4 linked regions of the Schizosaccharomyces pombe genome follow. The gene in region 1 interacts genetically with each later gene. Each region holds a gene or a part of one and is shown in the gene's direction. Other genes may lie near its edges. The genes, in order: cyr1, sty1, git1 and gpa2.

Region 1 (7,858 bases):
CTTTGCCAAGTTGAAGCATCTACTAGAGGACACATAAAATGTTCAAGTATTCCAGCGGATATTTGGGTGCATAATCTTGGAAAAAATCAGCAAGTTTTTTTAAGGATTTTATCTGAATCTATCAAAACTTATACTTTGTTATGTGCACATGATTCACAGAAGCGTATTGGGGGTTCAATTCAAGAGTTTGAATTTATTAGTTTCTGCCAACAAAAAAGGATATTTGGGCGACTATTGCCCTCTCTAGATTCACCGGTTACCAAATCTATTACTGATGATAGAGTTGAGCCGTTACTTGTGAAGGATACATTTCGAGAATTCGCCGAAGCCAGTGTCTCTGGTTTATTATCATGTGACGAATCGTTTCACTACTTGACGCAATTATACTATACTGCCGATATAGTTCGAAACTTATGGATTCTTTTGTCACAAAGAAACTCTTTACTGAAATGTATGGAATCAGTTGAATTTGAAGCCTTTGACTATGAGCAGCTAAAGGGGTTTGAGCACTTAGTTATCCAAATTTGGAAAAGTCTTCGTGTCGACGGAGCAGGATTAATCAATTTTGATTGTTGTACGGAGGATGATCTAAATAATCCTCATCTTTTGTTTACACTGTATAAACTATTGGAAAGGTTTTCTCTAATCTTCCTTCGAAAATGTGCTTTGCTTTGGTATTGCCGCTATGGAGTTTCATTTGAGACGCAACCGAATTTAAACTTTCAAAATTCAGAATTATCACGTTTACAAACAAAAATGCATATTCCAGGTGTTATTGAATTATCTAATCATCTTTGTCTTACGGCATCTTCCACAGAATGGAGCCTTATAAAGCACTGGTGTAATTTCTTTACAGAGACTGGTCCTCTATGCGATTTTCCTCGCGCTTATTACCCTGGAATTTATGAACTAGTTTCTTTACCGTATGAATTGGATAAAGTCTTTGAGTTACTATTGGCCAGGCGATGCTCGAAATGTTTAACTGAACCTATGGAACCAGCGATATGTTTATTTTGTGGGAAGCTCTTATGCTTCCAAAGTCATTGTTGTTCCTTTAATGGTATTGGAGAATGTAATCTTCATATGCAACAATGCGCTTCTGACATTGGAATTTTTCTTATTGTCAAAAAATGCGCTATTCTCTACCTCAATCCACCTGTAGGAAGCTTCTCTGTAGCTCCATTTTTGGATGCGTATGGAGAGACAGATTTGGGATTGCGTCGTGGCCGCTCTCAATATCTATCACAAAAACGTTATGATGAAACAGTACGAACGATGTGGCTAAACGGATCTATTCCTTCTTATATTGCTCGACAACTGGATGCGAATCCAGACACCGGAGGTTGGGAAACACTTTAGGCTAAACAATGGGAGTTTACGTGATCTAAGCTACTAATTTTTTTAATGCTTCAAACACCTTGATTATTTATTAGGATATATATACCAAAACTTGACATTTTATCATTTAATTCATATTCATTGACCTGTAAATATAGGTTACTTTACAAACATTTCGTCTCATTCAAACAGTCAATCGTATTGCCCTTATATTTAAGGGGCGAGTATCATTTAAGGATAAAATTAGATGAAAGTTTCATGAATACTTTAAAACTCAGTTTGAAACTTTGATAAAAGAAGCTTTTTTAACTCATCAGTCAAATCCAATGTTAATTAATGGAAGGAGTAATGGAAAGCCTTCAAAAAAAAAAATAAAAAAATCATAGTAATTAATTCAAGACCGCCTTCATCTAGTATATTCAGTAGATTTGTTTACAAATCGATGAAATAGTGACGTACGCAGTATTCGAACGCGCCTTACAGTTTCTTCCTCACTAATTCACTGAGAACACATAGTGTTGGAAATTACCACTCTGGAATATAGTTTAGAGTTAGGAAGATACATGAGGTGTTGGAACCCAAACCCTTTCTTGTTCTAAACCTAACAAGTGATATAATCAGACAAAGAAACGCTGGTGTTGGAACTAGGATAATAGAGCAAATACTAGTTCTATAAATTCAATATTCCTTCCTTGGATAGGGATATAACCATTATTGAATTTTCCTTGTCCAAAATTCGCGTATAGTGGTATTTTTGAAACGAAGGTGCTACAGATTCTTAGGAAGGATGCAAATTGCCACTAATGGATCAAAGCAAGCGATTGTTAAAGTCAGCTGTTCCAAACCCGCCTGAACATTTTAAAACAGGTATATCCTGGCTTGATGACCTTGACGAGAAGGACGATGACTCAGCGACGTCTGTGAACTATGATATACCAGAAATAACCGAAGCAAATCTCTGTAATGACTCCCATGAAGCTCTTTCACCTTGCACTCAACCTGTCGGTAATTCTGGACGACCTGTCGAAGCTTTTAAGACCTATCCTAGCACTCCTGCAGTACCTAGCAAAAGCGTGCTTTTCCATTTTTATGAACCGGATGAGAACTTTAGCTTATCTGACACGGGACGTACTAAATCGGATACCGCCTTAGCTGCAAGAGAAAGCTCTGAAAAGTCTGAAGTGCCACGTGATACCCGTAGTGCTGGGATAAAGCCATACAAAGAAAATAACTCGTCTAATTGTGCAATTTCTAAAGAAGCAGGCCTTCGAAGACTTATTGATAAGGACAGAGAATCTTTCGACAAAAACCTGAATCAGTCATTTACCAATCTAACTTTTCCAGAACCGATTTCTGATGACAGTGACAGTGTGGAGTTTCAACGTGATTCTCTTAATAACAATTGGCCAGCTAGTTTGGAAGGTAGCATACACGAATTACCCAGGAATAGTGATGATGATGGAATCCCTGCTTCTGCGGCTCATATCCTGGACCTCGATTATCATAGAGATAGTTATGATAGCCCTTGGAAGAAGTTTTTACCGTACCCTTCCATTTTATCCGATGATTCTTGGAAAGCTCCGGAGAGTTGGGGAACTAGTTTGCCCACTGAGGCTATTCCAAAGCAGGTTTTTACTACTAGATTTTTTGCTCGTCCTTCCCTGGGCAATAGAAAGAAAGAGTTCTTTCTTCGAGTATACCGTGATGATCGAACTTCCGTATCATTCATTTGCCCTATTGGCATACAAACTCATGAAGTGATTAAGCTGTTAGCAAGGTTATTTTTTCTTCCCTCGTCTGCTAATTTTTACCTCTTATTAATCCAATTCAATACAGAACGTATTTTGTTGCCTCATGAACAGCCATGCATTATATTTGAACGATTATTGAGTTTGTTTGGGTGTAAGGTAACTTCCGATGAAGAAATAAATGAAGAAGATAATTATAGTGTTGCTAGATTGGTGTTTACTACGATGGATATTGGAGCGGATGTATTGCGTAAATTCTCTGAAAAAAAAATTACTGCGAACCTTGACATTAGTAGGTCAAACCTGGAGGTTATTCCGGTAAAGATCTATCCCTATGCCCATGAACTTATCTCGTTGAATGTTTCGCACAATTTATCGCTGGACCTGCCTTTAGATTTCATGGAGCGCTGTGTCAAGCTTAAGCGGTTAGACATTTCCAATAATTTAAGGTCTCCAAGAGGAAAACCGATTACTGCTCTTCGCCAATTGGAAGTTTTGAACATGTCTCGTAACGATATATATGAATTGGATCCTCTTATATTCTCTGGGCTTAGTCGAAATTCTCTGAAAGAATTGAATATAGCTAATAATAAGCTGTTCTTCCTTCCCCATTCTACTAGATATTTGGTGAATCTAACCTATCTTGATTTATCCTACAATAATTTTGTGACTTTCCCTTTAATAATTACTGAGTTGTCCCAATTGGAGACTCTTAACTTTTCGCATAATTTATTGTCACAGATATCTAGCAAAATTGGCTCTCTTGTTAAATTGAAGCATCTATATCTACAATTTAATGATTTATCTAATCGGCTTCCACAGGAAATAGGCTTGCTAAAAAATCTGGAAACAATTGACCTTAGTTATAATGCGATTACTAACATCGCCAGTTTATCTGAATGTCCGAAACTAAATAGCATCAATGTAGCTTGCAATTTACTTTCTTTTTACGAATATTCCAATCCGTCAGCTACATTCATCGACTTCTCGTTTTGTCCACTGACTACAATTGATCCGGCATTTAGCTATAGCAATCTCGTCTACTTTGATATCTCACATGCGAAGCTTATTGGGCTCAAGGATTCTGTCATTGAAACTTTAGTAAATGTAGAAACAGTGAAAGTGAATTACAACCACTTTACTAGCATTTCCGATGCAATTTCTGCTATGCAAAATTTGAAATATTTGTCTTGCACGAACTGTGAAATGTCTTATGTTTCACCAAACCTTGGCAAATTAAAGCATTTAGTTCACCTGGATTTACATGCAAATAATATCAAAATATTCCCTGAGGAAGTATGGCAAGTCTCTTCACTAAAAGTTGTTAACCTGTCTTCCAATATCCTGGAGAAAATCAAGTTACCAGTTGCAACGTCAAAAAAATTAACTAGGACAATTAGCCAATTAAAAATCATGCGTACTTTATCAGGAAATCCGGTATCGAGCCTCTCCTCCCAAGAATTTGTTATGCCTACCGTTGAAGAATTATACTTGGTGGACAACAGATTGGGCAATGACTGTTTTACGGCTTTAGAATACTTTAAGTGTTTAAAAGTCTTAAATTTATCTTACAATTATTTAACGGAAATTCCAAGCAAGTTTTTCCAAAATTTTTCTGATCTTAAACACCTTTTTGTGTCAGGAAATGAGCTTGCAAATCTTTCCATTTCCAGTACAGCGCAGGTCCTACTTGAAACTTTGTACGCGAATGGAAATCGTCTTTCCTCTTTTCCTAAAAATGAAGCTTTGTCTAAAAGTTTAAGATTTTTGGACATAAGTACCAATAATCTGCAGAATTTAGCAGTAGAAAAAGCTGAAAAGAAGAGTTTAACTAAACTTCCTCAATTGGAATACCTTAATCTATCTGGTAACACATGGTTTCGATTCTCTGAGCATGAAGATACAAACTTTACAAAATCATATTTGAAGAATTTAAAGTTTTTGAGCATCATGGATTTGAATACAAAATTTTCTAATGCGCCTTCTGATGTTCTAAACCATTTTATTCAACGCAACTCTCCTCAACCTAACATTTTGAGGTATGGAGTATGTGGATACCTTTCTCGTTCTATTCCCGTCATCTCTGCATGTGAATTAGTTGTTAACAACTTTTTGCATCCTCAATCATCTTTATACTGTGTGCTTGACAGTGACATCAGCGCTGGAAAAAACAACCGGGTTTTAAAATTTGTGTACGACAATTTGGCTTCATGCCTAGCGCATGAGATTAATGCAGCAGATTCCTCTTCTGAACAAATTTGTAACGCTTTGAGAAGAGGATTTCTTCGTTTAAACAAAAAATTAGGAAATGTCATTCATTATGACCTTAGGAAGTCTTCAGAAGGAGACGTGGATAGTAATTACGTTACCACTATGAATATTTCAGAAAAGGGTTATTCTATGGACAGTTCTTGCTTGGATATAGGAGTTAGCATTATCTTAGTGTACGTCAGGGATACAAGAGCTTTCGTTGCCAATGTGGGCACATCAATGGCTATAATGTCTACGAGAAATGATTCGGAACCTACAACTTTAAGTGTCATGCATGATGTGTACAATAGGGATGAAATTCGTCGCATAGTTGATTCATGTGGTTTCATATCTGGTGAAATAAAATCGACCACTACACGTGCTATTGGTCGTTTGTCTCAATTTCCTGGCGTCCAAGCAGTTCCCTATGTTAATGTGCAGTACTTATCTGAACTAAACGAATTTATCATTCTAGCAAATCAGGAATTTTGGAGCGTATTATCAAAACGCACAGTAATTGACGTTGTTCGTGCCAACAGACATTCTCCTCTATTAGCCTCTACGAAGCTACGTGACTATGCTATTGCATATGGTGCAGAAAAAAATGTTCTTGTAGTTATCGTCGAATTGAACGGATTGTTTGAAGAGAATTCCCTTAATTTCAACCAACTACGGGGGGATGAAAAAACTTTAGCAATTTCTGAAAAGAACGATAATATGTCATTTGTCCAAGATTTACCCGATGATTCTTCTTTAGCACGAATGAATAGAGAAGTCTCTCCCCCGAAAGGTTGTATTGCCATGGTTTTTACTGATATTAAGAATTCCACATTATTGTGGGAAAGACATCCTATTGCAATGAGATCTGCGATCAAAACTCATAATACTATTATGCGTCGGCAACTCCGTGCAACTGGAGGCTATGAAGTAAAAACCGAAGGAGATGCGTTTATGGTTTGTTTTCAAACAGTTCCTGCTGCATTACTTTGGTGTTTTTCAGTACAATTACAGTTACTTTCGGCAGATTGGCCCAACGAAATAGTTGAGTCAGTGCAAGGACGGTTGGTACTCGGCTCAAAAAATGAGGTGTTATATCGAGGGCTTAGTGTTCGAATTGGTGTCAATTATGGTGTAACCGTGAGTGAACTAGATCCCATCACTAGACGTATGGACTATTACGGGCCTGTAGTAAACAGAACATCTAGGGTTGTATCAGTCGCTGATGGTGGTCAAATTGCTGTTTCTGCTGAGGTGGTATCTGTATTGAATCAGCTTGATTCAGAAACAATGTCATCAGAGAAGACGAATGTCAACGAAATGGAAGTTCGTGCTCTTAAACAAATCGGTTATATTATCCATAACCTTGGAGAATTTAAGTTAAAAGGTTTGGATACTACTGAAATGATTTCATTGGTTTATCCTGTGCAATTGCAAGGAAGACTGGAGAGATTGATAAAGAGCCGAAGTTTGGGAACACCCACAGCCCTCCCGGAAACTCAGACTTATACTCCCGTTCGTAGTAGAAGCAACAGCTTGCGACCCATGTTAGCAAGATTGAGTGATTCAAAATCTGTCCATGGAGAGGAGGGTGGTTCTGGGAAGAGATCGGTTTCATCCTTGCGCAACGTATCACCATCAGAGAGTACTGGTGGATATGAAGGTTGTATTTTTGATGACCAACAGTATCAATTACTTTATGAACTTTGTGAGCGTCTTGAAGACCATGCCGCTATACTGCATGGGTTTCCTGAACCACCGCCTTGCGATACCGGTCTGGCAGCTCCCGTAAACCAGGCCGAGGAGTATTCATTGTTCTACCGTCTGACTTTGCGTATCGAGAATACTATTTATTGTGTCAGTCAAATGCTTGGACACACTGGCTAAATGAATGCATATAATGACTGCTATATTTAAATAATGTTTAACCCCATAAATAGTTTATATATATATATTTATTTTTTGTATATATAATTTGCATATTTTTAATAAAATTTTTTTTTTTTTTGCTATACCCTAAAGTTGGAATTATGGAATACCAAATTAACGTACGTGTTTCGAGGCAAATCAACTTTTATTTACTATTAGTAAACAATAAGAAACTGAACAACGGAACGACAGTAGACTGATACAAAAGTAAAAAAAAAGAAAAATTGTATTAAAGAAATACGAAATAAAATAATTTTCATGCAAAATGGTATAGGAGTAAAAAAACACAATGGGGGAAACTCGGTATAACACTTGATAACAATGTAAACCCCAAATAAAGATAAAAAAAAATGCAAAATAGAAGAAAAATGAAAAAGAAATCGTAAGAGTAAGATCGTAACTAAACTAAAAATACAGCAAAAAAATTTGGAAAGAATGAAGCAATAAAAATACTAAATAAACAAAATTGGAATCAAAACACTTGACAGCCCGGTATAAAAAAACTTGAGAAATGAAAGATAGAAAAAAAATAAGGAAAAAGACGGAGCTTCAACAATAGTAGTCTAAAGCCTAGAATGACGAGAAGATGTCTTGGA
Region 2 (4,204 bases), on another chromosome or scaffold:
ATTGTACAGTATTTACATTATTGTATTGATTTAGCTACTAAACAATCCCTCCAAGTTCCTCGTTTACGAACAATAAGTGCATTAATTTCGAGTATTCAACACCTTCCTCTCGTTCAACCACATCACATGAATGATATGCATGGGCCCACGGACAATTCACCTAAGAAAAACAAAGTTTTGGTTAATATGCGGCCTATTAATCCATCATCCTTCGTTTCTGATCGACATTCACCTTTACACCCATATTCTGTTCCCGAAAATGGTAAGCCAAATATGGGCAGAATTCCTTCTGCTCCGTCCCTTTCAAAAGGACGAGCAATGACTGCTGACAATATGGATATGTTGTCTCTTACAACTCGTCGCTCTAGACGTTCTTTGTATTCTCCTTCTTTGATGCAAATGCAACAGTCTTTAAAGAGTGATTATGAGGGCTTGGGTCGAACTTTTGATCCGCGTTTTGCTCCTCGAGGTTCACCTCCTGTTCGTGGTGGAAAAAACGTGTTATCCCCTGAAGCTAAAGAGCATACGCACAAGAATATATCACCTGAGTCATCAAGATTTGGTACGCCAAGTGATCCTAATTCGTCTTCTCAATCACTTGGAAATGAAGTATTGTCAAGACCAAATTCCAACTCTAATTCTGCGGAATCGCGAAACGGTGAAACTGATGACAGTGGTGAATCCGAAACGTATTTTACTCTCATGAACAACAATAAGGGAGTAGAACCTCGAGCTTCTGTGGCTTCTGAGACATCGTCAATGACGGTTATACCTAATGCGATGCGTCGCTTTCCGCTAGCTCGTGGAACTTCTCGCATGAAATCGTAGACCTCTCTTTCGGAGCCACAGTTTTCCTCATTCCTTTATCATTATAAAAGCATTGTCGTGTTAAACTTTTATTGATTTGAATTCTACTGACTCATTATTAAGCATTCTTTTGGGGATCACGTTATGTTTTTTTATTTTCTTCCGAACAATTTGCGCTAAGAATAACGCGTTAGCACTCATCGTATTGGGTTCATTTGCATCAAATTTATGAAGGCATAATTTCATTCTTTTTAATCTGGTCTATATTTTAAAAGTACTCTGTTTTTACCCCGTTTGGTTATCTCCGCCATGGAAGCAATTTGGTATAAGTCTATCATATATGTATATATATAACTTTTATTACATTTTGCATGTATCTTTGGCGAAGAATTCCATATAATACGTATCTTTAGTCTATCTGCTCACTGAGCCGTATGGTAATTTCGGCATCACATTCTTTTTTTTTTCGATTTTCCCTTCTTTTAATTTTTGTCCTTTTATTGAATTGATTTTTTATTGAAACATACATTTAACGTAGTATTGTGTCCTATTTCCTCGTAGACTTTAAATGGTATTTGTCCAAACTTTTTTAATTAAAAATTTTTTAATAAAGTAAAAGGAAAATTGAAATGGAAAATGACTTGTTGCACCTAATTATCCTTGGTTATTTCGTCCCAAAATGTGGAAGGTACAGACCCGATTAATGCCTAATCGTGAAACCATAATATTAACAACTCGCTAAGAAATCAAAACGCGGACGCTGGGCTAATAGAGGCAAACAAGCAAATTAACTACGAAATCGAGCATTATGGATCAAATGAAATGTCAGATCTATAATTGAACGGGTTTTTCAACAGTAACTGTTGTCAAAAGACAAATTGGGTTAGCTTACAAGACTTTTTCCTTGAAACACACATTTCAATAATGAATACTAGCTCAAATAGCTAAAAAAGTTGATCTAATAAAGCTGGCTTAACAACTTTACCAACTAACCCATCTCAGATCTGGACAACAAAGCCTTGGTAAGAGTAGAAGGAGTGGTCACTTTGGTGTTTATCGTCGTCAGTTGTTATCAAAAGTAGTAGTACTTTAAATTGTTTAATACATTTTAAAAACATCGTTAAACCGGCGGAACTTCATTCTTTGAGGTTCTGGATGCTGAAGCGCAAGTTCACTGTAGTGCGGTGTGCACTTAATCACAGCTACATACCTCCTTACCACAACTTAACCAGAGCACTTCATTGCTTATTACAAGCAAACACCACAATCTGTTTAACGGAATACGAGGTCCGATACCGACGATTGTTATCGTAATTATTATAAAGCTTGGCACTTCGCAGCGTTGTTGGGAACTTGTAAAAAGAAGAGAAAGTTACTTTTCGATATAGACGAAGGACGCTTAAATTTTTGAGATTATTGTTGAATAGTCCTTTTTGTAACCAGTTTGAATAAAATGGCAGAATTTATTCGTACACAAATATTCGGTACATGTTTTGAAATTACCACTAGATATAGCGACTTACAGCCGATTGGCATGGGCGCCTTTGGCCTCGTTTGTTCAGCGAAGGATCAGCTAACTGGAATGAATGTCGCTGTTAAGAAAATTATGAAACCCTTTAGTACTCCGGTACTGGCAAAACGTACCTATCGGGAATTAAAACTATTAAAGCATTTAAGGCATGAGAATATTATTAGCTTGAGCGATATTTTTATTTCTCCCTTTGAAGATATTTATTTTGTCACGGAGCTTCTGGGAACAGATCTTCATAGACTACTTACATCGCGACCTTTAGAGACGCAATTTATACAATACTTCTTATACCAAATCTTGCGAGGGCTCAAGTTTGTTCATTCTGCCGGTGTTATTCACCGTGATCTGAAACCCAGTAACATCTTAATTAACGAAAATTGCGATTTAAAAATCTGCGATTTCGGTTTGGCTCGTATTCAAGACCCTCAAATGACGGGCTATGTTTCTACTCGTTATTACCGTGCACCTGAGATTATGTTAACTTGGCAAAAGTACAACGTCGAAGTTGATATTTGGAGTGCGGGTTGTATTTTTGCTGAGATGATTGAAGGAAAACCCTTGTTTCCCGGCCGAGACCACGTTAACCAGTTTTCTATAATCACGGAATTGTTGGGAACGCCGCCTATGGAAGTAATTGAGACGATTTGCAGTAAAAACACACTTCGCTTTGTTCAATCATTGCCTCAAAAGGAGAAAGTTCCTTTTGCTGAAAAGTTCAAAAACGCCGATCCAGATGCTATTGATCTGTTAGAAAAAATGCTTGTCTTTGATCCTCGTAAGCGTATTAGTGCTGCTGATGCTTTGGCTCATAACTATCTTGCTCCATACCATGATCCTACTGATGAGCCTGTTGCTGATGAAGTTTTTGACTGGTCATTCCAAGATAATGATTTACCTGTGGAGACTTGGAAGGTCATGATGTACTCCGAGGTTTTGTCGTTTCACAACATGGATAATGAACTGCAATCCTAAACAAGTTGTAGATAAAGCCTTAAAAGTTGTTCTCGGGGTATGTTATGATTACTCTATTTTGTTCACGTGTATCATATTTATATCATCTCGGTTCCATGGAATTTTAGGCTTTTCTATTATTCTAATGGTCATCGGGTTTTTAATCCTCCGTTTAATTATAAATTACAATTGCGATTTTCAAGTGTGGTGTTTTTTCTCGCCACTCCTTTTCTAAAATATTTTGAAATTCAAATTTTTATCCTTTTTTTTCGGATATGGTAATGCGATGGCCCATGAAAATTATTTCCAACTTCCTCTTTCCAAGTAATGAACATATATACCTTCCTCTTCTTGTTTTGACTACAAATTCAGAAGTTGAATAAATCACCGAACTTCTCTTTTTGAAAGAAAAAAAAAAAAAAAAAAAAAAAAAAAAGCCATTATAATAGTTACCCATCTAGGTTTATAATGCTAATCTGTATGATTTAGTTTTTAAGTTCGTTAATGTAGTTACGGGTTTTATAATAAGTAGTGTATTTATTAATTTTTAACTTTTATTATTTATACAACAAGATTTTGGACATCTTGTGTACATGAAGTTAAATAAAAATCTTAAAAACGTTAAAAAAAATCATAGTCATCTAGGAATTACTTCATAAAACATAAAAACTTAGCAAATGCGAAGTGTATCTTCATAATCAAAAAAAGAGCTATGAATAAACAGTATCGTAAAAATAATTAAAAGGAAGAACAAATAATTTTTCCAATTAAAACTAGTTAGAGGTGATGGAGAAAGGAGAGGCTAAAACGTTAAAAGAGAAATTGGGCTCAAAACAGACGTGCTTGAAGCAACATAAATACAAAAAGGAGATTGACAGTGACAACAAATCTCCCGTTCTATGAAAAAGGGGATTA
Region 3 (6,192 bases), 1.0 Mb from region 1:
GCTGGCTATTGTTTTGTCGAATTCGCATCTCCTCATGAAGCTTCAAGCGCGATGAGTATGAACAACAAACCAATTCCTGGTACAAATCATTTGTTTAAACTTAATTGGGCCTCTGGAGGCGGATTACGTGAAAAGTCTATTTCAAAGGCCTCAGAATATTCCATATTTGTGGGAGACTTGTCACCCAATGTCAATGAGTTTGATGTGTATTCTCTCTTCGCATCTCGATATAACTCATGCAAGTCGGCCAAAATCATGACTGATCCTCAAACAAATGTGTCAAGAGGATATGGTTTTGTCCGTTTTACGGACGAAAATGATCAGAAATCTGCATTGGCAGAAATGCAGGGTCAAATTTGTGGTGATCGTCCTATTCGGGTGGGATTAGCCACTCCTAAAAGTAAGGCTCATGTTTTTAGTCCTGTGAACGTTGTACCTGTTAGTATGCCACCAGTTGGATTTTATAGTGCTGCACAGCCTGTTCCTCAGTTTGCTGACACAGCAAACTCAACCGTATTTGTTGGCGGTCTCTCAAAATTTGTTTCTGAAGAGGAGCTTAAGTATCTTTTTCAAAATTTTGGAGAAATTGTTTATGTCAAAATTCCACCTGGAAAAGGTTGTGGATTTGTGCAATTTGTCAACCGACAGTCTGCTGAAATTGCTATCAATCAGTTGCAGGGTTATCCTTTGGGCAATTCTCGTATCCGATTATCTTGGGGAAGGAATCAGAATCCAATTGCGGCTCCTGCCTTGAATTATCAGTCTCAGGTTTCACAAACTACTATTCCTGCTACCTCATTATTTCCGGCAATGAGTTTACCACCCCAGGCTCAGTTTAGTCCATATCCGGCTGTTGCACCTTCCCCCTTAGCCCTGCAAACGAGGGGTGCACCGATTGGCATGGAAATTTCGATTGGATCTCCTGCCCTCGTACCTGATCAAATGCATATTCCTGAAAACGGCAACTCTGATACCATGCCTGTTCCTAACACACAAGGAAAGCATTTATCAGCTGAAGAGTAATGTAAAAGTACTTGCGATTGAATTTTTTATAATGGCATGTCTCATACTTTTTATCATCATTCTTGGTTTTTATAAAGTATGAATAATTTTCCATCTATTCTAATAAGTTTGATGTTCATAATGAATCACGGAGAATTATTGTTTCGAGAAACGTGAGAGTTCTTGTAAACTCTATCTGTTATTTTGGACGTTAAATCAAGAGAGTCCCTTAGCATAATTGATTAATAAGCATTTTACATGTGTTCATGAATTCGAATTATCGAAGAAAAGCTTGAACTAAATTTTTGTTGGACATAGCTTCATTACGTTTCCTTTCTAAGGATTGACGGTTTTTATATTCATCTCTCCCTGTTTATGATATGAAATGCTACGTTTTTTTAGCCGAAATTTTCATTTGTCATGATTTTTATAGTCAAGAAAAAGGTTTTCATACGACGTATATAAAAGATTAAATTTAATAGTAATGATGGACTTCAGAATTATCGCACTGAGATTTTTAGGTCGCTGGAGAATGCAGTTTAGGCAAGGTATGTAAGTGCTTATTGAGATTTCCCATTGATAAACAACTTTTAAGTTGCTTCTGGTTTAATCATTCGTTCTTTTAGGTATGAGTTTAGTTAAATGATCAGCGCCATTTTCAAAACATTTCATTCAACCAAAAATCAACCGCCTCTAAATTCAATTTTATTTGAATGATACTCCCTATTTATCGAAAAATCCATTCAATTAAAATCTATTATTAACTTTTCATCCATTTAAATCTACTCCATTTTTAAAGCTCTTGTTTACAGAGTAACAACGCGACTTGCAACTTCTACTACGCCAGGGGGGCGACTGTCGCAATAAACAACTGACAGAAAACGCACTTATAGTATAGGCTCAAAATCTTTTTAAATCGTAGCCTTTCCCATTAATACGAATACATCATCAAATTCAGTTTTGCGATTAAGTATAAACGGGCTTAACTCGTGCGTTTATATACTTTGTCAACGCTGTGATTAGTATTCAACCTTTGACGTTACACTTTATTAACCTGGCTCGATACTCTTAAATAAGACTCTGGAAAGCGACAATTCTTATAATTAATTTTATTTTTTATTTTTTAACCTGTGAAAAAGTTTTAATCTCTAGACCTGGAACGATCATTAACATAATTGTGTACACATTATTGAAATCCAGCTTATAAATGAATTTTGATCTACTAAATAATTTACTCACCGATCCAAAGAAGCAGACAACATAAACCATCACCTATCGCTATTTTTACCTTCATCCATTAAATAACACCTTCATACATTCCGAACACCAGGTTTTTGCACTCTCTACTCAGCAAATCGGAAAGGCTTAAAATGGGATTCACTAGTGTTGAACCCCCAGATTTTTTTGATTGGACTGCCAGAGCTATATTTTTATTATCGACATTACGCAGTCGCAGAAATGCTAAGCAAATTGAGCGTGAAAATGCGCTTTTGGATCAAATCAAGGAGCTTTTAAGTATTGCCATTATTCAGTGTCATGAAAGAAATATTCCTTCGATAGATCTTCCCCCGTCTTTTTTCAATTATGTTTGTGAACAGCTACCCAGGCACCCTTTTGCTAAGATAGCTTCGAGCTACATAGATACGCATACTTTATTTTTTCAAATATCTATCAGCTCATTTTTATGCCGATTTTCAAACTGCTCAGAAGACGAGATCAGGCTTTTTAAGCAGCACCAGTCCCTTGATAGTTTTTTACTATCCTTGTTTGACCTCCTTTGTAGTCACCACTTTTCCGTTGAATTTACGTCCATATCACTAATTATCAAATCTTCGCAGTGGTTATTTTATACATTATCCGATTATGCTCATGAATCCTTAACAGGCGTTGAGGCTGATATTACAACGAAATTTCTTTCCACCCTAGCTGATACTTGGCCAGAATTCGAAGAGCAGTGTACTCTTAGCAAACATCTTTTTCTTTTAGGTGACTTTTCGCTAATCAGCTATGTAAAAGTTTTATGTGGTGTATTTAATATCCCTAACTACAATGCCTTCATTCTAAGTGTCGAGGATCTACTTCCGGAAAATATATCCTTTGCCGCCGTTGCTGATTTTCAGTTATCAAAGTATAGGGCAATTAACGACAATTCTGTATTAAGAAGTGACGATTTCTCATCAAAAGCTGTGTTCGACAAATACGTTGAAAGGGAGTGTTATTACTCAGAAAATGCTATTAGTAAAATTTTTCAAAACTATCCTGATTTGGCTGTCCTTTTTGAAGAACTACAATATGCCGAGGGAAACAATGATCTTCTATCTGCGATTTTGAATACCAATAAATATACTTTGAGACCTGATGATTGTGCTCCATACTTTTATCGTTTAATGGATTTGTGCTTACGTTATTGTTATAGCCAAAGTAATGAAATTGGTACCAACGTTTTATGGAGCATGACTACAAGTTTCATCAACATTTGGCGTATTCATCCTGGAACATGTTGTTGCGTGGTCTTAAGTATATATTGGCCTTATCTTGAGGATAAACTCCTAAAGTTTTCGGACCTTGGAGATATTTTTGAATACTTCTTTTCTTTAATTCATGATTGTGATTATGCGATTTGGTCAGTCCATGACGAACACCAATTTTCGGAGTTATTGGCGTTTTATCATAGAAGAGCTTTAAATGACTTAGTAGAAGAATTGGGGAGCTGTCCTCGTTCTAGTGATTCTTGCCGAGCTATCCTTGATATCCTTAATAATTACATCTTTTCATGTCCGCTTTTTCTGGTAACCCCTGAAGAACTAGAAGAGCAATACACCGACTTTTTTAAAAAACTGAAAGAAAAATATGGGGAGTTTTTCCAGAATCTACTGAAGAAAGAACTGACTGGGAAGCCTGAATCAGATCTCGAAGGGCTTCGATTAGTGGGTGTCCAATTGCAAGCCACTTACGAAAACTTGAAGTCGAATTTTAGTGCTAGAATATTTAACCAGCTTTCGGTTCACTCATTTTTTGCAGAAGCAACATGTCACTTGTTTCTTGAGAAATTACCTACCATTACCAAAACTTATGTATACTCAAATTGCAAAGAAATTCCAGATCATATCCTTGAAATGATCAATGCTCTATACCAGCAAACTCGCGCTTTAGTGGCTTGCACCGGATACCTATCGTCGGACTACCCGAAAATTTATGAAGCTTTTAGCGGTACCTTTGTATATAGAAATTTGTCGCTGATAATCGACAAGGGCTTGGCTAATGTGTTGCAAACAGTCCTAAGAGAGTCTTTCATTCCTAAGAGATCCAGATTTTATTCAGATTCAACTAAAATGATTCTTGCTCCTTTGCAGGACTGTTATGATTTTCTGCAGAAAATAGATTGGCCAAGTTCCAAAGATGCAAATCGTTTTTATTTGCATCTTGGAAAACTTAGTGAAAACTACATTCATTACTACGTTGACAGCATGTATGCATTGTTTATTTATAGTACCGATATACCATTGAAAGCAGAACCTTTAGTTCCTGATCTTCCGGTGAAGCAGCTTAAAGAAAAAGCTAGTCATTTTAAAAGACATTCTGGGGACCCAAATTTTTTGAAGCTGTATAGGGAATCATTCACCCTAATCAATACCGTCAGTTTAGTGAGTGGTTGGTTAAAAATGCTGCATCAAAGGATTGATTATAAAATATTGACAGAGAAGGTAATGCACTTTAAAGATATGGAAGTACCATCTGCGACTGTTATAATTTCCATTAAGATGGCCCATCTTTTGGTAACCCCAAAGGCCCCATATTCATTCTCTGTTTTGCTCCAAGATCCTGAGTCGGAATTTTGTGTACATACTCGAGATGTTTATGACGAGCTAGTTCCCAATTGGAAAGAAACGTATCAGATGGAGATTACAAACGTAAAGCGTTTTAAATTAATTATATATCAGAGGAATATACACACTGGATTGGAGACTGTATATGGTCATGCAACACTAGAAGTTGATCCCGACAAACTTAAGCAAGGCCACGGAAAAGATGTTTGGCTTGATATCACTAATAAGGGACAAATTTTGATTGGGTTGCGTGTGCTCTTGAAGAGGGAAACACCAAATTATTACTGCTTTGCCCAAATGGAATACCTTACCGTTACTGAAGTAAAAATGCTAAATGTACTGATGATTTCTCTAAGTAAATTTATTCGAAATTCCTTAAGAAATAGTGGGTTAATGGATTTCGTGCGTTATCTTGATGGAGACGAAAATGATAACGCAGAGGCTGAGACTAAAGAAAAGATGGACGAGTTGCAGGCCCGGTGTGAAAAAGAGCAGCAGTCATTGTTGGCAGAGCTAGATGATTTTTTTTATTGGATTTATGTAAACTTGCTCCCGAAACCTCTTTTTTACTTGCTTTCGCGGCTTTGGTTTGGCTTGTTGGAGACATTTCGAGATATTTTAGTGCCTCCAGTCACAGATTCTACCCTAAGGAGAATTCCGTTGAATAAGCGTGAACTCAAAATGGTCTATTCGTGGTTACAATTGTTTTACGATTTTTTTCGGAATTTTCAAGATATTGCGCCATTTGATTTTTTGAATACCGATGAGTACAAAAGTGTGATGGCTATTAAAGACTATTATTTTGTAAAGTCTAAGGATGTCAAAAGAGTGAGTAGTTAGTTAACTACGGTAATGATGGAGACTTCTATTAATGTTTATTAATTTACTGAACGATACTTTTAATTTAATGAGCACAGTTGCTAATTTATTTTATATATATACAAATATGTATGTCATACGTCTATCATAAAGTCGCGTGTATTAGTTGCTAGGCTGAAATTATTTATTAAGCAGCTAGCTTATAACACTGCATTGTACACAAGAATAATGCTGAAAGCTAAAAATTAAGTTATGCTTACGATGATTACGCATTTTCTACAAAAATGAAACACACCATACAACCATAACAACAGGTTACAACAAAAGTCATAAATACATTTCTATGTAAACAAAAACAGATTTTTTTTAACGTAAAGCATACACATAACCGCACAGCCTTTAGAACGTCCAAACCATAAAAGCAAGTTATAATCATACATAAACATAACAAATGCCTTTAAGTCCCTTAGATAAGACACAAACATTAACCCTTGACTCAATGTCAGAGGCAATAGGAGATTAAAGTCGAATAATTACCAAAGGA
Region 4 (5,388 bases), on another chromosome or scaffold:
TGATTTATTCAATTATTTTCTTATAATAATTTTTTGAATTAAATTAACATAGTTTTATTTTAAACTGGGAAGCGCATCTTGCTCATAATTCAAATTATTGCCCTAAAACCAACATGAAACAGATCCGGCAAACTAGTTTCCACAATATATCGGGATATATCAAGATATGCAAGATATATAAGATACACATATATAAGAGATATAAGATACATATTCAATAATTGTCAAGGATACCTATAATCAAGCAAAAATTAAACTTACGCAAATAAGAATTTCATCTTTATAAAAAAAAAAAAACCATCAAAAAACAAAACAATATAAAAACCCTCCCACTACATGTGAATATCTTGGAAGACTTTTTTTTATAACTAGTACATGCTTTTATTAGTATGTAATGAATAAATGAACGAACAACAACGGATTGACTTCAGTACCACATAAACATTACGAAACCTAGCTAATTCTATCTCACCTGAAGATTATTTTATTTTAGCGGGGCAAATGCAGTCCTTCCCGAACCTCCAAGACTAAGTAACCAGCAAGTAACGGCATCAGGATATCTTACCATTCTTACCCATTAAATTTAAGGAACCGAATGAAATTAGGAACGATGAGCAGTTTAACAAAGTCCTCCTTATTTTTTTTGCGTTGAAATGTAGTTTGTAGTGTCAAGCTGCTTTGTGCTATTTATCGAGCAATGAGAAATAGGAGAGGAGTTATGGTAGCAGGGTATACTTAGTAATGTTTTCATGGACCAAGCGGGGGAGGGGCGAAAAGCATGTCTAGTTCGCTGTATTCAGTTTCAAGACCCCATTTCATGTTTAACATTTGTTCTAGATACGCAAAAATCCCTTTTTTCTAGATTGTTTGCAAGTCCCCATGTCTTCTTTTTTTTATACAGCTGAAAAATTTTCCGACTGTCAGGTAAAACTGGTCAGTTGCGAAAACATGCTTTGCTTCATCTTGGTACCCAATCGTCTATGGATTTTTTATATGTTTCTTTCTAGCTTTGTGATAGCTGCCCACGCTTTGCGATCAAGTTAGTTGCCTTATCCCTTGTGCACTTTACTTTCATATCTGAGTAAATAAGTCTCCGTAACTGGAATTGAACTTGGTAAAATTGGGGCTTGAAAATTTAAAATATTATGAAAGTGAACAAACTCAGATTGGGAAAACACTCATTAAACATTGCTTGGAAAGATTGCGCGTTTTTTGGAACACTTCCTTTGGTCATCTTTGCTATCCCGATTGCTTGCATCTTCAGCCATAAACAAGGGACGACTCATTGAGTTACTAGAGTAGTAATAGAGCAGTATAGTTTAGTAGTATAGAAATGCTGGACCAACCAGTTAATGACATATAAACATAAAACATAAAAAACTATTTTGATGAGCGGCGCTTCTCTATGCGATACTTACATAGAATGCAAAGCTCACACAGGTCTCAGCTTACTGCCTGCTCCCCTCGCCCAAGGTCATAATCGAAGAGTAAGACTTACACTCCAATCTTCTTTACTTGAATGATGCTTGTTTGGTGGTATGTGTTGGATCCTTTTCCAATGTTACATTTTCCGAACTGTCCTCTCTACCCCACTCGAAAAATTAAAATCGTAAATGGATGATGCATGACGTAGTGCCTCATAAATACAAATTATACCAGAGTTGCCGTCTGTCTTTTTCGAAATAGTATAGACGAAATCACCGCTCAGGTACCAATCTAACCATAGTTGTTAGCTACTTAAGCTGTTTGAAGCATCAAAACGCTTGCCCTTTTGCTGCTGCTTGTTGGATTTAGGGTAGTGTGAATTGAAAGTAAGGATTTAATTGTACACTCGGTTAGTTGGACAGTAGTAAGAATTGAGATATTTTGCCTCTAATTCTTCTTTCTTCCTTGTACAATTCTTAATTTTTTTCTCGTTCATCGAAAGACGACGAGAAATCAATTTTCACGAGTTTCTCATTTGTCGCTGCATCTCTTCAACTGATTTCAGCCTTTTCTTCTTGCCTTAATCAACCTTGGTATTCACTCGTACTCACTGTGTCAATTAGCTAGCCGGCTAGCTTCCGACCTGCGATCCTTCCTCATTCTCCTCCACCCCCTGCTTTTCGAGGCATCTGGTGAAACTCAAAAAAAAGTTGAAATTGCGATTTAAAGGTCGCCCATAAAGGGGGTTAATCAAACTTTGCGCGTATAGTTTAGTGACTGACTAATCAATATTTTGATTATTGATTCCTATTCTGTAATATCCCCTTTTGACACCCGCACCCTTGTTCCTACTTAATCATACTTGCTACCTCAACTTTTTTTTTAATACTTTTATTTATTTGCGTTTCACTTTTCTTTCTAACTTGCTCTCTTTCCATTTTATTATTTAATCTTTGCTTTAATTGGGAAAAGAACTGGATTGAAGGCTTTTCTTGGAAAGTCCTCGCCTCTCTGCTGCTACACCTTACCTACCTGCGTTTAACCTTCTTACTTTGTTTCATATTTATTTCTCCCATCTTATCCCAAAAACCCGCTAGCTGTCGGATTGAGAAGTTTGGTGTCCTACTACATCCCCGTATTTATATTCTGCAGTAGTGGATTAAAAAAAAATGACGATTTTTAATGGATTATCTGAAAGCGGTGAATCAAAAAAATTGAACAGCAAAATCGAAAAGCAGATTGAAAATGCCTCGAAGAAGGATAAAAAGATTTACAAAGTGTTGCTTTTAGGTACGTAAACTACTCAATGTTGTTGTTGTTGTTCAATAGTTATATATGCTTGGGCAGTCGAGCAAAAAAGCAGAAAAGATTGAGAAAAAAAATAAAGAAACGAAATGAGTGAAACTATTTACGAAACAGAGAAACTGTTTAAGAAATGACAGAAAATGGTTTGTCTAATTGCGTCTACGTTCTCTACTCTTGGTTACCCTTTCCCTTCAATACTCAGTCAGTGAAGGTGACTTTGATAACGTTCTTCTAGTTAACCACTTTTCGTCGTCGTTGCATGTTGTAATCAGTTGCTCTACACTCTTACCGTTTCTCTCCATTGCATAGCACAGATTTTTTGTTTGATTCCTATAGCAAATTTTCCTTCCTTTGTTTCTTACAATCGTCAGTCTAACCATTGTTTTCTAGGTGCCTCCGATAGTGGAAAAAGTACCATCAGTAAGCAAATCAAAATTCTCAACAAAAATGGGTTTAGTCAAGAAGAGATTATGACATTTATTCCGGTGATCCGACGAAACCTGTTGGAATCTGCTAAAACCCTTGTTAAAATTATCGTTCAAAAAGGTATCAACTTGGACCCTTTAGGAACCCACAATTGCGAGATAATCGAAAAATTTAATCCAACTCCTGGTGAGCTTATTAATGCTAATATTGGCCAAGCTATTACTAGTCTTTGGTCAGCCAATAGTGTTAGATCCTGTACATATGGAAATGATTCCGTACTCATTGACTCTGCCCCTTACTTTTTTTCGCGAGCCGATGAAATTTGCAGTCGGCATTATGTCCCTACAATAGATGACATTCTCCGGTCTAGAAATAGTACTCTGGGTATTTCGGAAATATCGTTCACATTGGATCATTTGCAAATTCGAATGTTCGACGTTGGTGGTCAAAGAACCGAACGAAGGAAATGGATTTATTGTTTTGAAAATGTGAATTCAATCATATTTTGTGTTTCCTTAAATGATTATGATAAAAAGCTTTATGAAAGAGCCGCCCCAGAACGCAATCGTTTGGTTGAAAGTATTTCTTTATTCGACTCTATTATAAACAGTCAGTGGTTTATGCATTCTTCTATCATTCTGTTTTTGAACAAATTTGATTTGTTTCGGAAGAAACTGGAACATGTTCCGTTCCAGGATTACTTCCCCCAATATGAAGGTAAAAATTCTGTTAAAAGTATTACCCGGTATATTCTTTGGTTATTTGTGAACCCTTCTATAAATCGGGCTAAGCATAATATATATCCTCACATTACCACCGCTGTAGACACATCTAACATAAAGGTTGTCTTTTCTGCCGTTAAGGAAACAATTCTACAACACAGTCTGAAAGAAGCGGGAATGTTTTAATTTTAATTTGAAGATAAAATTTACCCTACCATTATTCATATGTTAACAGAAGACCTCTTACTGTCTGCATATGTCTAGAGAGTTCTGAAGCCTCCTTGTAAGAATCGCTTCTTTTACATTCGTTTATTTTTTTTTTTTAATATTGTCCGGAGTTTATTACACATGTTCTTTAAAAATATTTTTCCAATATATACATTGGCTGCTGGAATCTGAAATCACCGATTTGTCTGTAAGGAAAAGGATCGATCTCCTTTTCAGTTGTCTCAGAACGTTCACAGATTGCTATTAAATAATCTCTTTAAGATGACCAAGTTATACAGTTCTAGTTGATATAAATATTTTGTCATTTTTGCGAATATCAATTTGCATTTAATTTTTTACTTTAAACGATGCTGCTGGCGAATGCTTTTAAAGTTATTGAATACTTTCTGTTGAACATAGTCTTAAGATTGAGAAAGTAGATCTCCAGTTTTGATTCGAACATCTATCTCTGCTTTCAGAACTATTGCTATCACTTAATGCTGCTATTTATGAGGGTCGTAGAAAATCCGTTTGAGTACTAAGAGACTTTGAGTGGATACATGATTTAATCGCTTTTGTTTTAGTATTTAGTTTTTAATTGTTAGACTACTTGTATAGACTATTTCACTGAATCATCAAAATTGTTGTCTCTCTTTGTTGGCACCAGAGACTGATACTTTTTACCGACTTTCAGTATCTTTTCTTTAATATATTAATTTACTAATCAAAAAAGCTATTGAACACGTGTATTTCTGCCATGTATAATAAAAAGCCGCACTGTTCTGTATACGTATCAATTTGATTAAATTAGATAGTAATACTACTACATAGATATTCGTTACCCACTTTTAGCTTCTACTTTAGTATATCCACCCATCTTTGTGTTACTGCAGGTTTATTTATTTCAATATTTATTTTGTAAAAACAATTAAGTACATTCGTTAACTAATTATGAGAATTATTGCACTTCCTTTGCCAAATCAAAGGGTATTCTTACATTGTTATCCTTCTGAATACCTTGCCAAAAAAGTTACTATTCACGACAAAATTATAAACAGAATTTACAAGTATTGGGACTCCTGGAGTGCTTCAAAAAGCTATACCAAACAAAAGGTTGTGTCTTTGGGAAACCGAATTTTGCATGCAACTCCTTATGAAGAAAATTTTTTAAGGGCGATTGCTCCTGTTAAGAAGCTAAATGATACAGAATTACACCAAACTTTGTATATTGAACATCCTCCAAATTTGGAATCAAGTACTATTTTAGCTGAGTTGAATCGGTCCAAACAATTACAAAAGACCC

What was found.
Region 2: of cyr1 (region 1) and sty1, a mutation in one rescues a mutant of the other (synthetic rescue), as found in Schizosaccharomyces pombe (2 studies listed by BioGRID, with this or other methods).
Region 3: of cyr1 (region 1) and git1, extra expression of one rescues a mutant of the other (dosage rescue), as found in Schizosaccharomyces pombe (2 studies listed by BioGRID).
Region 4: of cyr1 (region 1) and gpa2, extra expression of one rescues a mutant of the other (dosage rescue), as found in Schizosaccharomyces pombe (2 studies listed by BioGRID).

The regions. Positions count from the first base shown.
Region 1 is NC_003423.3:2,817,867-2,825,724, forward strand, and holds cyr1 (adenylate cyclase), read left to right. Parts: upstream 1-1,935; 5' UTR 1,936-2,141; coding exon 2,142-7,220; 3' UTR 7,221-7,354; downstream 7,355-7,858. Other genes in the region: N-end-recognizing protein, UBR ubiquitin-protein ligase E3 Ubr1, read left to right, coding at 1-1,359; SPOM_SPBC19C7.04C (uncharacterized protein), read right to left, coding at 7,826-7,858. UniProt on the Schizosaccharomyces pombe protein: Acts in glucose-induced cAMP signaling by catalyzing the synthesis of the second messenger, cAMP to activate PKA signaling and repress sexual development and gluconeogenesis.
Region 2 is NC_003424.3:205,970-210,173, reverse strand, and holds sty1 (MAP kinase Sty1), read left to right. Parts: upstream 1-2,037; 5' UTR 2,038-2,260; coding exon 2,261-3,310; 3' UTR 3,311-3,698; downstream 3,699-4,204. Other genes in the region: SPOM_SPAC24B11.07C (oxidoreductase), read left to right, coding at 1-828. UniProt on the Schizosaccharomyces pombe protein: Proline-directed serine/threonine-protein kinase involved in a signal transduction pathway that is activated by changes in the osmolarity of the extracellular environment. Controls osmotic regulation of transcription of target genes.
Region 3 is NC_003423.3:3,830,674-3,836,865, reverse strand, and holds git1 (C2 domain protein Git1), read left to right. Parts: upstream 1-1,875; 5' UTR 1,876-2,372; coding exon 2,373-5,669; 3' UTR 5,670-5,681; downstream 5,682-6,192. Other genes in the region: splicing factor Cxr1, read left to right, coding at 1-1,023.
Region 4 is NC_003424.3:2,515,522-2,520,909, reverse strand, and holds gpa2 (heterotrimeric G protein alpha-2 subunit Gpa2), read left to right. Parts: upstream 1-1,670; 5' UTR 1,671-2,594; coding exon 2,595-2,715; intron 2,716-2,878; exon of another isoform or gene 2,879-3,120; coding exon 3,121-4,064; 3' UTR 4,065-4,857; downstream 4,858-5,388. Other genes in the region: SPOM_SPAC23H3.12C (hydrogen/potassium transport protein), read left to right, coding at 5,037-5,388. UniProt on the Schizosaccharomyces pombe protein: Alpha subunit of the heterotrimeric guanine nucleotide-binding protein (G protein) involved in glucose-induced cAMP signaling.